2 linked regions of the Lonchura striata genome follow. Each later gene encodes a partner of the first gene's protein in a complex. Links are inferred from orthologs where the notes say so. Each region holds a gene or a part of one and is shown on either strand. Other genes may lie near its edges.

Region 1 (7,353 bases):
CAGTTTGATTTAATTTTCAGCTCTGTTTGTTCTTGCCAAGGCATCCCGATTATCAAATATCTTATGCTAATCATGTCCAAAGTCCATTGCCTGTCTCGTGTGTCCCAATAGAGTAGGAAAAAAACATGTGTACAGAGTGTGGGCTGATCCACAACAGTGTCACTGACAGCAGTGACCCCGCTGTCCCCTCTGGCAAAGGTGAGCAGCTCACCTCCTGTGGCTTTTGCCCTCTTGAGCACCTGCCAGCAAGGGCTGCACACCCCTTCATCCACCTCCCCTGCCCAGGGTGCTTTCCTCCCACCTGGGGCTACTGTGGCTGGAGCAGCTGTGCTGCAGGAGCCCCACTTCAGTGCCCTCTGCCTGTCTTGCTGTGCCCTGTGTGGGTTTCTCTCTGGTCACCTCTGCTGTCCACGTGCCAGAGTGTTTTTCCCAACCGAAACAATTCCGTGGTGCTGAGACTGTGGATGCTGCAGGGCAGGGGGGTGGCACGGCCTGGAGCTGAGCTCCATGAGATGCTGCAGGGTTCAGGGGAGGCTCAGGGGTGTGCAGGGCCTGGGGATGGGGACAGGGACAGTGCTGGCACTCACCTGAGATGAGACTGGGTAGTCAAACCTCTCTGTCAGTGAGCCCTGGGGCTCTGCTGGCTGCTGCTGGTGAGCCAAAAGTTCACCTCCACAATGGAGCTAATTCAAGCCAAGACAGTGATTTAACGAGCCGATAATCTCATTACAGAGCCCATACAGAGAACAGCACTAATGGCATAAACCAAAGAAAGGACTGAGTGTGCTGAAGCGTGGGCAGGCCAGCCTGTCCCCCTGCCTGGCAGGGAGGGTGCGGGGCAGGAATCCTGTCCCAAACAGCCCCAGGGTGCTTCAGGGGGCTCTCTGATACACCAAAGCCACCTAATCCCTGCAGGGTGCCTGTCCTGGGGACAATCCCTGAGCCAGCAGTGGCGTAGCCCTGGGCTACAGTCTCCCTTCCTGTCCGTTCACTGTGTGTGGAAAAACCTGCTGAGCCACAACAACGTTCTCCAGGCCACAACAGCAGGGTTAGGTCAGGCTGCTTTGTCTCCTCAGCCAGCCTGGGGCTTAAAGAGCTGCTTCCTTCTCTTCTCACTGCAACAAAAAAACCCCACTCAGGTTTCATGCAACGGTGAGGGAAGTGCCAGAGGCTGCAATGCTGCAGGGGTGGCCCGTGGTTTGATGATCCTTTCCACCTCAGCTCCTTGCTGTGCCCTAGTGTGGAGGGTTCCAGCTTGCAGCAGCTGAGAGCAACCAGCCCCTGGGCTCAGCCTCTCTTCTCCCTCCTTCCCAGGTGATCATCTGCTTTGGGATTGCCGTGCTGCTCCACCAGTACGTCGGCTTTGCCCTCGTGGCTTTACTGGTGGAGATCAACTCCATCTTCCTCCACCTGCGGCAGATCATGCTCATGGCCAACCTGGTGCACACCACCTGCTACCGCCTCAACAGCCTCATCAACTTGGGCACCTACGTGGTGTTCCGCATCGCCACGCTGGCCTGGATGAGCCGCTGGCTCTTCCTCAACCGGCAGAACGTGCCCCCGGCCACCTACGCCGTGGGCACGGTGGGCATGGCAATCATGACGCCCATGAACGTCATCCTCTTCTACCGCCTGCTGCGGAGTGACTTCCTCAAATCCAGGAGGGAGAAGGAGGAATAGGCCCTCCCCTGAGAAGGGGCACTTCCAAACCCGTGGAAGCACGTGGAGGGTGAATGTTTTGGTACCTCGCAGGGAGGGGCTGCACTAACAGAGCATCCAGGCTTTGCTTGTGGCTCAAGAGCCTGGGCCCTGCACAGCAGAGGAGGTGCTCGTGGACCAGGCACGGTGGCTCTGCTCCCCAGACGCTTTTGGATGATGTGGTTGGACAAGCGGGAGCTGCTGAGAGAAGCCTCGACAGCTCTCACAGCTCCCTGAGGCACCACTGAGATGAGACGGGGGCAGAGCAGCACTGTTTCCCCACTGCTCTTCCAGACATCCCAACACCACCGAGTGTTTCCAACCCCTTTGGTGCTGCAGCGTCCCATCAGCCACGGGACACTGAGTTCTCCGTGCCATCTCCTGTGGGAACACCACCAGCAAGACAGGTTCCAAGGCTTTGCCTTCAAGGTGATGGTCAGTAAAAAACAAACCTTGCACTGATGAGCCCTCCCTGAGGAGATTTCCCAGGCTGAGACCTGGCTGGGTGGCAGCTGCCCACTGTGGGGGCAGCCCCAACCTCTCCTGGCAACTGGAGCTTTTCCATCATGTTTTGTCCCCAGATAATTCAAGTGCCCATAAATGAGCGTGGGAGAGCACGAGTGGCTGGAAGGAGGATGCTGTGTGATGGTCACTTCTCACACATGAGGGGTTTTCAGGCACTTTTTAAGATTCAGGCATCTGTTAGGAGTGCCAAGTTGTGCTGCAGAGCCCGGGGTAATGCTCTCACTTGACAGCAAAGGCTCTTACTAACATGAGCTTTTAATAAATGGCTGCAAATGAAGTGGCTTGAGGGGAAAGGACTGAGAGGGGACACGAGGACTCATCATCCCAGCCCAATCTGGGGGTGTCACTGCTTAGCCCAGTCCTTACCCCCAGTCTCCCTGCCATGGAGTGAAAATACACTGTACACTGGCACACTCTACCTCTCTTGTTGGGTTTTTTCCCCACCCCTCTCCTTTCTGTGGAGGAAAATGAAGGTTTTTAAACATTCTTCCACTCCACATTTCCTCACTGATTCTCACACTGGACTGTTCCCCAGCAGCCCAGCACTGTGTATATAACAGGATCATCCTACTTGGAGTTAAGGTGAAGCAGTCTGGAGAAATCCACCGGCTCAGTCACCTTTTCTTTTGTGTGGCGGATAAGCTTTAACACAAAATCTCTCCCTTGGTTTGAAGACCCTGGGGACAGGCTGGAGCAAGGCACTGCTCGGAGAGGGTGGCACATGTTTTGAGGACAGAGACAGGGAAAGATGAGGGATCCATGGGCAGTGTGAGGCTGGAGGCTAAAGCCGCTTACGTTTCTATTTGTGGAGGGCAGGGAAGCTTCCAGGTGCTGGGCACAATTACTCCAGGTTTGGGTACGTAACCTCAAGCAGTGCTGAGGCACCTGTGTGCCACTCACAGCTCCCAGCTGGAGCAAAACTGTCACCCAAGGCTTTCTCTTTGCTTTGACCCACGTATTCCGAATTTTCCAGGAGCTGCTGCACAGGTAACAACGCTGCCTCTGCTCTCCAGCCCACAGTCGGGAGGCTTCTCAAGGCCTGGATTGTGTTCCCACATTCCTGCCGTCACATGGATGTGGGGCTGGGGGCCAGGGCAGCCTGGTTTGGGCACCTCTTAATCCACCGTGGTTTTCCCACAGGGCTAAGGGGGAAAAAGCAGCGGCTTTGCAGGTCACCCAGGTCGGACGTGGGGATGCCCTGTGCCTGCCCATCCCGATGGGAAGTGCCAGAGCTTCGCTTTGAAAGGTTTTGGGAAGGACTCACCACTCTGTTCCCACCGTATAGGGGTGGGAATACCACCACCACGGGGTTAGAAGGAGCATCTCCATCAGGGAATTAATTGCTGGGGAGTAACACCCCGGCTTGCCACCCAATCACCCCCCGAACAAACCCCTCTCCCCATGGGAGCTTCCACCCTGGCAAAACCCTGAGGCAAGAGCTCGCCTGGCTGCTGAGGGGCCCTGAGAACACATTGAACCCACCCACAGTGAGCTGCTGGGCAAACACTGAGGGTCGGGGGCCATCTGTGTTCCTGTGGAGAGGCAGGAAGGGGACAACGAGTGGGTGGCTGCTTGCTGGGGCCATGGTGTAGCCATGGGGGCAGTGCATCACTGGGGAGCGGCATCCCCCTGCCTGCCTGGGGCACGGGGGCGTGACTGAGACGGGCTCAGCCGAACTGAGGGGATGTCCAGGCCCCGTGGGGGATGTCCCCACGCAGCTCCACCGCGGACATCACCGGGATGTGTCCGAAATGTCCAAAATGTCGCCCTGAGGGCGCCCCCCGCCCCTACCATCACTGGCGGGGGGGGGGCACGACCCGGCCAGGGGCGCCCCCTAAAGCAGCGCGGAGTGAGCTACGCCAGGCGCTGTCCAATCAGAGGCGCTGCCGCGCTGTCTCCGCCAATCGGAAGCAGCGAAGGGCGGGACCGGGGAAAGCGGGACACCACAACGGAAATGTGCGCCAGACACCGCTTGCTCCCCTCTTCCGCCCTCAGTGCCTCCCCCGCCGCTCCGCGCTCTGATAGGATAAACCTGCTGTCTGTCAGATCTCCTAAAAATTGACTGGCTGTTCCGCGCCGCGAGTCCCGCCCACATCCGGGTCTCGCAGGCGCGGTGGCGGCGGCGCGGGGCCGCCATTGTGGTGGGGGAGCGCGGGGGTCGCGGCTGCCGGTGAGGGCAGCGGAGCGGCGGGCCCGGGGTGCGCGGGAGCGGCGGGGGAGCGACCGGCGGCGGCCCCGTCGTGGTCCCGTACCTCGCACTGAGCCCCTCTCCATCTTCTCTGCGCAGTTGCGTCGCCATGGCCGCCGTGTTCCCGTACCGCGGCGGCTGCGCCCCGGTGCCCAACCCGCTGGCGCCGCTGCCCGACTACATGTCCGAGGAGAAGCTGCAGGAGAAAGGTGGGTACGGCCCCGGCGGCCCAGAGCCTCCGCGGGGGACAGGGCCTGAGCCGCCGCCTCTGTGTCCCCGCAGCCCGCAAGTGGCAGCAGCTGCAGGCCAAGCGCTACGCGGAGAAGAGGAAATTCGGCTTCGTGGATGCGCAGAAGGAGGACATGCCCCCCGAGCATGTCCGCAAAATCATCCGCGACCACGGCGACATGACCAATAGGAAGTTCCGTCACGACAAGCGAGTCTACCTGGGGTAAGGGACCCCCGGTGTGGGGCACAGGGGGATCTGCTGCTGCCCTGGAGGGAGAGATCCTTCTCCAAAAGGCTTTTTGTGAACATTGTAACTCAGTGAGGATGCCCTGAGGTGTCAGTGCAGAAGAGGATCAGCAAAAGGAGTTGTTGCCTTGAGTTTATGAGAAAAAACATTAGCCTGGATAATGCATCATTGAAGGGGAAGCCCCTTCTCCAAAAGGCTTTTCAGCTTTTCAGTTGTAGCTCAATCTGTTGCTGTGAGGTATCAGTGCAAAGGAGCGTCAGCAAAGGGAATTGTTGCTCTGAATTTATGAGAAAAAACATGACCCTGCATAACTGAGTGTCTTAGAAGGAGTTGGGGAGAGTGTGGAATGTTTTTTTAAAGATTAAAAAGCATCCTGAGTGCTGTTTGGGGGTAGAGAGCTGTCTAGTGCACATCATGGTCTGCTGCAATAAGTTACAATTACCTAAAAAACTCTATGAACTAACTTAAAAACTTCAGTTTCTGTTAGCAACATTCTTGAAAGCCAAATCACTAAAAAACCTTTTGATAATCCAAAGGTAGAGTGGGAGATCCATGGATTTGCTTTTTGAACAGGTCAGATGAGCAGTTCCTAGGGAAAACTGGGAGGTTGTTGGGCTCGTGGCAGGTGGTTGGCTGTCCTTGAGAGCCACTCCAGCGTGGTTTTCCCTGGTTTGTGGTTGCAGTGCTCTGAAGTACATGCCCCATGCTGTACTGAAGCTCCTGGAGAACATGCCCATGCCCTGGGAGCAGATCCGGGACGTTCCCGTCCTGTACCACATCACGGGCGCCATCTCCTTTGTCAACGAGATCCCCTGGGTCATCGAACCTGTCTACATTGCCCAGTGGGGGTAGGTGCCTTCTGCTTCTTTCACCTTTTTGCACCCACCATAAAATCCCCCTGCTTTTAACCTACCCCTGATTTCCTGCAGCTCCATGTGGATTATGATGAGGCGGGAGAAGAGGGACAGGCGCCACTTCAAGAGGATGAGATTCCCCCCGTTTGACGATGAAGAACCCCCTCTGGATTATGCTGATAACATCCTGGATGTGGAGCCCCTGGAAGCCATTCAGCTGGAGCTGGATCCAGAGGAGGATGCCCCTGTGCTGGACTGGTTCTATGACCACCAGCCTCTGAAGGACAACAGGAAGTAAGTGGCTGTGGAGGGGGAGAAAAACAAAAAACAAACAGTGCATGAATGACGTGCACAGAGCAGTGTGTAACCTTTGTGTGATGTTGGTGAGGAGAGAAAAACCTTCCCTCAAGGATGGGAGGGAAAAGCTGAGTGTTGGAAAGCTGCATCTTTTGCCTGCAGGTTGCTCAGAAGTCCAAAGCCAGGTTGGGTGGGGCTCCGAGCAGCCTGGGATGGTGGAAGGCTTGGAAAAAGATGAGGTTTAAGGTTCCTTCCAAGCAAAACCAAATCCATTCTGGGATTCTATGGTTCAGGATCCAGCAAGGCTCCTCTATCCAGGAGGCCTGTTACCCACTTACTTCCTAAAACTGGTGTTTCTGACCATGTTGTAAAGCTGACAGCCTGCATTGTGTAGCTGGAATTTGGAATTTGCTAAAGGTGCCCAGATGTTCTGTGTCACTTGAGACACAGGAGAAGAGGAACTGGAGCAGCCAGCATTTTCTGGGCAGGAGGAGTCTAGAGTGGTCTTTAATAGTGCTGCAGCCTTTTTTTCAGGCTAGAGACACGCAGATATCTGTTCTTGATGAAGGATGGGTGGCAGAAGGTGTTTGGTTATTCTGTGTGTGGAGTGTCCATGCTCTGCTTTCCCAGGTACGTCAACGGCTCCACGTACCAGCGCTGGCAGTTCACCCTCCCCATGATGTCCACACTGTACCGCCTGGCCAACCAGCTGCTCACTGACCTGGTGGATGACAACTACTTCTACCTGTTTGACCTGAAAGCCTTCTTCACCTCCAAGGCACTGAACATGGCCATTCCTGGAGGTCCCAAGTTTGAGCCCCTCGTCAGGGACATCAATCTTCAGTAAGTGTTGGTTTTGGGAGAGAGATGAGTGGTTGTCTAGGAGAGGGCTGATGGGGTGTTTTCTGTCTCTCTCACCCTGAATGCCTGCATAACAGTTTCTTGTCTCGTTTTAAGGGATGAAGACTGGAATGAATTTAATGACATCAACAAAATCATCATCAGGCAGCCTATCAGGACAGAGTACAAAATTGCTTTCCCCTACCTGTACAACAACCTGCCCCACCATGTCCACCTCACCTGGTAAGAGCAGCAGCCTCCAGAGCCAGGAGAGGAGGGAAAGGCTGTCAGAGGTTCTAATGCATATTTATTTTTTTGCAGGTATCATACTCCAAATGTTGTTTTCATTAAAACAGAAGATCCTGACCTCCCAGCTTTTTACTTTGATCCTCTGATCAACCCCATTTCACACAGACATTCTGTCAAGGTGAGTCACTGGGTTAACTGTGATAAACCCTATGAGTGGAAGTAGGGGC
Region 2 (7,114 bases), on another chromosome or scaffold:
GGAAGTGCCTTTTCCCTGCTCTTCTCTGGATCAGTCCCTGAGAGCTCAAGCTCTGGGCTCACTGGACCTCCCTCCCTACTCCCTGGATTTCCCGTGCTGCCCACAGTGGGATTTGCACTTGGATTTGACAAATGTTTTCTGTTTTCTCTCACCTGGGGAGTGAGTAGTTGGCCAGCCACAGCCTGGCTGTTTTCAGACTGCGAGGGCCCTCGTGGTACCACGTTTGCTGATACTGTAAAAACAGGAATAAAAGGAATGGAAAAGCCCTGGTGCTGCTGCCCCTGCATTCATTCCCTTCAGCTCCTCCCAGCACCTGCCCCCAAACCCTGCTGTGCTCTGGCCTCTTTTTAAGGGCCTTCTACACAACTGAGCCCCAGGAAAAGGGATTTGGAGAGATAAATCAAACTCTCTGCCCTACAGATCCAATCCTGCCATGCTGCCACTTCTCTCAATGTTCCAGCTGAACCCTGACCCATCTGCATTTACAGACATGTAACTCCCTCCTTGTTTACACATCACCCACTAAAGAGAAAGCCCAGAGCTGCAGAAATTATTTCTTACAGTAAAGCTCAAAAATAATAAGGTAAAAGAGACTCAGGAGACACAAGCAGAAAGAGCAATCAAAGGCAGAAACAGATGCAGCAGAAGGAACATTTTTTTTTTCTTCCCAAGTGTGAAGGAAAGTAAGGGACTTGCTACAGTAGGTAAGAGCCCACACACTGCTCTCCTGGTTTGCACAGTGAATGCAGCACAGAGCAGAGTCTGAGTAAAACCCACACTTGGTGCTCCTCACTGAGACCAACCATTGCCATGGATTTGGTGTAATGGGCAACATGGAAAAAGCCTGAAGGGATACCATGAGAATTCCCAGGCTGGCCAAAGCCAGGAGTGCAGGATATATCAGAGATGGATATAACATCCCTCCCTTCTGTCAGGGGACAGGAGACACCCTTACCTCTTCTTTGGACTTTTTGGACCTGTCATCATCTTTCCGGGTCTTTTTTAACGCGTCTGTGCCGACCACTGAGAGGATGTTCCTTAACCTGGAAGGAGTCATGAAGCTGGATTTAGCCAGTGGATTCTCAGCTCACCTGACAAACATCACTGTGACATTCCTTCTGCCTTAGGGTTCTTACAAGAGAAATCCCAGACTGGTTTGGGCTGGGAGGGACCTTAAAGCTCATCCAGTGCCATGGCAGGGACACCTCCCACTGTCCCAGGCTGCTCTCAGCCCCATCCAACCTGGCCTTGGGCACTGCCAGGGATCCAGGGGCAGCCACAGCTTCTCTGGGCACCCTGTGCCAGGGCCTGCCCACCCTGCCAGGGAACAATTCCCAATTCCCAACATCCCATCCATCCCTGCCCTCTGGCAGTGGGAGCCATTCCCTGTGTCCTGTCCCTCCATCCCTTGTCCCCAATCCCTCTCCAGCTCTCCTGGAGCCCCTTGATGCCCTGGCAGGCTCTGGAGCCTTCCCTTCCCCAGCCTGAACACCCCCAGCTCTGCCAGCTGCCCTGTGGCACAGCAGTGGCACGGCAGGAGGGGCTCAGGGATTTGCAGGGTGGCCATCCCTGCAGACACAGCACCTCTCCCTGCGCTCCGCGGGGCCCTCTCCGAAGAGCGTGATGGGCTCGCCCAGGGCCCGCAGGCAGGCCTTGACCTCGCAGTCGTCCGTGGACACGTTGATCTGCCGGGCGCGCTTGCGGCGCTCGAACTCCGCCAGCACCTCGGCCTGCCGCTCGCTCATGTGGTCCTCCAGGTCAAACACCTCCCCTGGCACACACACACAGCCTGAGCACACGCAGCAGCACGGCCAGGGCCAGCCGGGGAGCTCTGCACATCACCCGCAGCGGGGCCACCCGCAGCAGGTGACACAGCAGGGTGTGGCATGTCCCCAGAGAAGGACGCTGCACCCCTCCCTCAGCCCCTGGAGAGATCCAAGCACGGAGCCTCCCACCCTGACTGCTGTGAGGCGATGCCCAGAGAGCCAGCAGAGGCATTTCAAGTGCCACCTCTGCGGGCAGGGATGACGAGGGGTGTCTGCAGAGCCTCACCGCTGCTGATGTTGATGTTGCCAGCCTCCATGGCAGCCTTCATGGCCTCCTTGGCCAGCAGCCCCGCCTCGCCCTTGGCCAGGCGCTCCCGCTCCTTCTCCTCCAGGCTCCCGTAGAAGATGGGCGCCCGCTTGGCCGGGGCAGCCTCGGCCTCCTCGGGGGGCTTGGCCTTGGGGGGCTGCAGGGAGAGCCAGAGGAGCAGGGGTTGGGACAGGGGGCAGCTAACAGCCTGGCTGTGCCAGAGCCGGCTGTGCCAGGAGAACGGGCACTGTGCACACATACAGCCTCTCGGTGCCACGCCGGCTGGGGATGGAGGCAACTGAAGCCCATCCATCCCACCCTGCCGTGCCAGGGACACCTTCACGGCCCCAGGCTGCTCCAGCCCCGTCCAGCCTGGCCTGGGCACCGCCAGGGCCGGAGCAGCCGCCGGACTTTGAGGTTTTTGCCCGAAGGCCGAAGCACAAGAGCAAAATGCCGCGTTGAAATGCTGCCATCAGGCAGCGTTGGGTGCCTCTTATTTATTATCTGCAGAGGTATGTTTTGAAAAGCTTTGGAACACGGAGCTGTTCGTCCTCCTGCACCGGCACAGCCCGGAGCGGTGCCGCGCCCCAGCCCAAAGCGAGCGGCTCCTCAGGGGAGGCGCCAGGACCGGGTGAGAACGCAGAGCACCGAGCCCTGGGCTCCCCTGAACGGCTCCGGTGTCACCGGAGCACCGCAAATCCCACACAGCAGCAGCAGGCGCGACCGCCGGCGCCGCGGCCGCGCGGGGAACAGGCCCGGGGCCGCCCCCATCTCCGCACACTCACCTCGGGGGGCCGGGCCGCACCGCGCGCCGCCGGAGCCCGCGCGGCGGCCATGGCGGGAGCGGGAACAAGCCCAGGAACGGAAAAGAGCCCGGAAGGGGAGCGGGAACCAGAGAAGGGAACGGGGAGAGACCCGCCGCGCCGGGCTCCAGCGCCTCACGGCCACTTCCGGGCCGCGCGGGGCACGCCGGGAGGCGCGGCGCCCGCTGAGGGCGGGCCGCGCGGGGCACGCCGGGAGGCGCGGCGCCCGCTGAGGGCGGGCCGCGCGGGGCACGCCGGGAGCTGTGGCGGGCGGCCCGCTGAGGGCGGGCCGCGCGGGGCACGCCGGGAGGCGCGGTGCCCGCTGAGGGCGGGCCGCGCGGGGCACGCCGGGAGCTGTGGCGGGCGGCCCGCTGAGGGCGGGCCGCGCGGGGCACGCCGGGAGGCGCGGTGCCCGCTGAGGGCGGGCCGCGCGGGGCACGCCGGGAGAGGCGGTGCCCGCTGAGGGCGGGCCGCGCGGGGCACGCCGGGAGATGAGGTGCCCGCTGAGGGCGGGCCGCGCGGGGCACGCCGGGAGAGGCGGTGCCCGCTGAGGGCGGGCCGCGCGGGGCACGCCGGGAGATGAAGTGTCCGCTGAGGGCGGGCCGCGCGGGGCACGCCGGGAGATGAGGTGCCCGCTGAGGGCGGGCCGCGCGGGGCACGCCGGGAGAGGCGGTGCCCGCTGAGGGCGGGCCGCGCGGGGCACGCCGGGAGATGAAGTGTCCGCTGAGGGCGGGCCGCGCGGGGCACGCCGGGAGCTGTGGCGGGCGGCCCGCTGAGGGCGGAGCGCTCGGTGCCGCCGCGGGTGGCGGCGCCTCTGGCCGCGATGCTCCGTCGGAAGCCGACGCGGCTGGAGCTGAAGCTGGACGACATCGAGGAGTTCGAGAGCGTGCGGAAGGAGCTGGAGGTGCGCGCGGGGCCGGGCGCGGGGGGCTGGGCCCGCCCCCGGCCCTGACCGGCCGTTCGCCCGCAGAGCCGCAGGAAGCAGCGGGACGAGGCGGAGGCGGCGGCGGGCGGCGAGGAGGCGGCGGCGATCGGAGCGCTGGGCACGGAGCACAAGAGCCGCGAGCAGCTCATCAACGAGCGCATCGGGTACAAGCCGCAGCCCAAGGCCGGCGGCCGCGCCGCGCACTTCGGCACCTTCGAGTTCTGACGGGGCAGCCCCGGCCCCGCTGGGCCGCGCCGCCCCCCTCTGAGCTGTTGCATTTTCGCATTTTATGTTTGGTTAACATGGCCGTGATCGCTCCCTTGCCGAGTGTTTTGTTTTAAATAAACACGTATTTTTTTAAAGAAACGAATAATCATCCCACGAGCTGCTGTAAAGGGCTGCAGTGCCCAGGTGGGGTGGAACAGCTCGAGCACCCCGTTCCCTGCTCCTGTGGGCAGGAGGATGAAACTCTGCGGGAGGATCCTCCGGGAAAGTGATCTGCTGATCTAAACCAGACAATGGAGTGTGGCCACCTCAGCCTCCAGCCCTGCCCGCTGGTGGCCCACTGAGGAGAAGGTCCTGGAGGTGTCTGATGAGTGTTTTGGGATAAAGGTGCCACAGTTGTGGGTGCCAGGCACTGCTCTGTCCATTCTCGAGGGAACCAGGAAAGAATTCCCGGTCTGTTCAATCAGCTGGTCCCAAATGCATCCCAGAGCTGCTTCCCCATCCATGTCACAGCTGGGCCCTCAGCAGGGAGTGGCTGCAGACCTGCCGTGGGCTGGGCACATGGATGTGGGATGATAGCCCAGATTTTCTGTTTGAGCAGCTTTTCCTTTGCACCTCCCTGTTCCACCTCCATCCAGCTCTGCTTGGTGCCACCCCAGCTGCCCTTGGAATGGAGCTCAGAGCTGTTTGCTGCTTGGATCAAAGGCCACCAAACAGTTCCTTATGGCTGGTGGTGTTCTGTGAAAAGGCCAAGGGCACATGGATTTCCTCAGCAGGGGCCTGGGCAGGGTGAGGTCAGATCTGATTTAGTGAGAGGAAGGTGTCAGACTCAGGAGGAGTCTGACAGTGGAGGACACTTGACAGGAGTCACACAGTGGGGTGAGCTGAAGGAAGCAACATAAAAACCTGAGCAGCTCCTTGGTGCTCAGGAAACTGCTCTCTGCAGCCTGGGGAAGGAGCAGGGCAGGCTGCCACAGCAGGGAATGCAGGAGCTGGAGGCTCTCCCTGCCTCTGCCCAGGGCTGTGTCCTGCCATCTTCAGCAAAATGACCAGGTCTGGTTTTTCAGCATTCCTCCAAAGTGGACTCCAGTTAAATTCACGCTTCCCGTGTTGTAGGTGCGTCAAATTTCAGGTCAGGCTGGGAAAATGTACAGAACTTCAAACTTTTCCAACTGGGAAGAGCCCCAGAGCAGCCTAGAAAAGAGCTGCTTTTCCTGTCTAACACCACAAACAATGATCAGGGCTTGCTCTGCTGTGCTGGCATTCCCAAGAGGCCCCAGCTGTGAGAGGACAACACCTCAGGAGGTTCTTACATCTCCCTGAAACTCTTCTCCAGGGCAGGCAGATCTGGGAGGCACCAGTTTCTCTTTCCATCCCTCCCCACACCTGCAAAGTGCGACTGAGCTGGAACAAAGACTTCTCAGTGAACCCCATTCCAGCAGCTTCAGGACAAGTTCCTGGGAGCTGGGGAGGCTCAGAGGATGCTGCTCCTCACTCCCCACAGCACCTGAACAGGAACACTGGGCCCTGTGCTCCCTCCAAGGGCTGCCCTGAGACCGTTCCCAAAACACACCCCCAGCACAGTAAAATGCCATCTATTTTATTGGTTAATTATGTACAGGAGATTCTTGATATTCACAGTAACATCAGACAAGTTACCACCACAAAAAGCAAGAGTAAAAACAGAACTGACAGTCCACTGTAAACAAAACTAGAAATCCTGCTGGGTGGTGGGACTGGCTCCAGACAAACTCAAAAGGCACTCAAAGAAAAGCAACAAAAGCCCTCGGAGGGACAGGGCCTGGATGCTCCGAGCTCCCTCGTGGATGAGAATGTGGAGGCTCAGCGTGTGCAGAGCAAACGGGGCACAGAGCCAGGCACAGGATGTCACCCCGAGCAGGGCAGCACAGCCCAGCATGCTGCATGTCTGTCCATGTCTGTCCACACCGGCCCTGCGAGCCCTCCCCCACCGTGCGACCCGGACACCTCTAAATTCAGCAGCGGGGCTGGGGCTGCCCAGAGCTGCCGATCCCGCCCGCAGGGAGCTCAGGCTTTGCTCCGGCTCTGCACGCACAGCCCGGCTGGGAGCACACCGTGCTGGCATCTGGTGGCAGCGGGACGCTGCGACAGGGACGGTCGATGGCTGCTCTGGACTGTCACACTGAACTGGGGACAATCTGAACTGCACAGCCGCGGCAGGAGGAGCAGCCTGGACACGCCTCGTCCCCAGCGGTGCCCCAGGAGCTCGGAGCACAGGGGACACGGCCTCGCCTGCTCCTCTCAGCCACTTCCCCTCTCACCTTCCCTGGGAGCCCAGGGTGCCCTCACCACCCCTCGTGCAGGCTGTGGGAGCTGCTGGGGCACCTGAGACTCGTGCCCAGGTGAGCCCTGCCAGGGCAGTGTCCCCTCCCTGTGCACGCTGGAGAAGCTGTGTGCCCTCTCTGAGCAGAAGGGAAGCTCATTCTGGGGGGAAACAATTCCAGGGGCACAAGTGGTACAAGCAGAATGAGACAGAAAAGCTTAACAAGAACCAGAGTGACACTGCATGAGCCACAGCCTGATCTCCAAGTCATCCCCAGAGAATTCAAGTCTGGCCACTTGGATACACAGAAAAGTGGCTAAAAGGTGACAGCAAGATCAGGCCAAGCAGCTTCTGTTCCAAAGAAAGACACAGCAAGAGGTATATGAGGTGACCAGTGTCACCACAGAGCCGCTCCTCACTCCAGCCTGTGATTGTGATGGCAACAATTCCACCCCCTTCCAGAAAAACCAATGGCAGCAGTGGCAGTGTCACCCTGAGCTCCTGCAGGGGTCAAGCCCTGCAGTGCCAACCTCCCACATCAACACCATCTCCAGCTTTTAACAGCTCTAGTTCTCTCTGACAGACAGATTTCCTCTCAGTTCCAGCAGGAGTGGGAAGGGATTGTTCATTTTCTCTGCCCACACTAACATCCTCCCAGCTCTCCAGGGGTGGGGAGGGTCAGCTGTCCCCTCCCATGATTGCCTGCAGGCACAGCAGAGTTTTACCTTTGTGACAGGTGCAGAAAGGGCACCAGCAGGTTCTGTCACAGACAGAACTCCCTTCAAA

Evidence for each region. The genes of interacting proteins can lie anywhere in the genome.
Region 2: PRPF8 (region 1) and PRPF4 share a complex: the UniProt entries of both Homo sapiens proteins name them as parts of the U4/U6-U5 tri-snRNP complex. The link is inferred for Lonchura striata from reciprocal best matches to the Homo sapiens genes PRPF8 and PRPF4.

The regions. Positions count from the first base shown.
Region 1 is NC_134622.1:6,932,166-6,939,518, reverse strand, and holds the start of PRPF8 (pre-mRNA-processing-splicing factor 8), read left to right. Parts: upstream 1-4,323; 5' UTR 4,324-4,393; intron 4,394-4,510; 5' UTR 4,511-4,520; coding exon 4,521-4,620; intron 4,621-4,693; coding exon 4,694-4,862; intron 4,863-5,569; coding exon 5,570-5,734; intron 5,735-5,815; coding exon 5,816-6,034; intron 6,035-6,667; coding exon 6,668-6,880; intron 6,881-6,994; coding exon 6,995-7,120; intron 7,121-7,198; coding exon 7,199-7,304; intron 7,305-7,353. Other genes in the region: TLCD2 (TLC domain-containing protein 2), read left to right, coding at 1,315-1,680. UniProt on the Homo sapiens protein: Plays a role in pre-mRNA splicing as core component of precatalytic, catalytic and postcatalytic spliceosomal complexes, both of the predominant U2-type spliceosome and the minor U12-type spliceosome.
Region 2 is NC_134624.1:4,700,912-4,708,025, reverse strand, and holds the start of PRPF4 (U4/U6 small nuclear ribonucleoprotein Prp4), read right to left. Parts: upstream 3,078-7,114; 5' UTR 2,910-3,077; coding exon 2,859-2,909; intron 2,231-2,858; coding exon 2,053-2,230; intron 1,772-2,052; coding exon 1,585-1,771; intron 1,044-1,584; coding exon 956-1,043; intron 233-955; coding exon 153-232; intron 1-152. Other genes in the region: anaphase-promoting complex subunit CDC26, read left to right, coding at 3,700-3,780, 3,847-4,026. UniProt on the Homo sapiens protein: Plays a role in pre-mRNA splicing as component of the U4/U6-U5 tri-snRNP complex that is involved in spliceosome assembly, and as component of the precatalytic spliceosome (spliceosome B complex).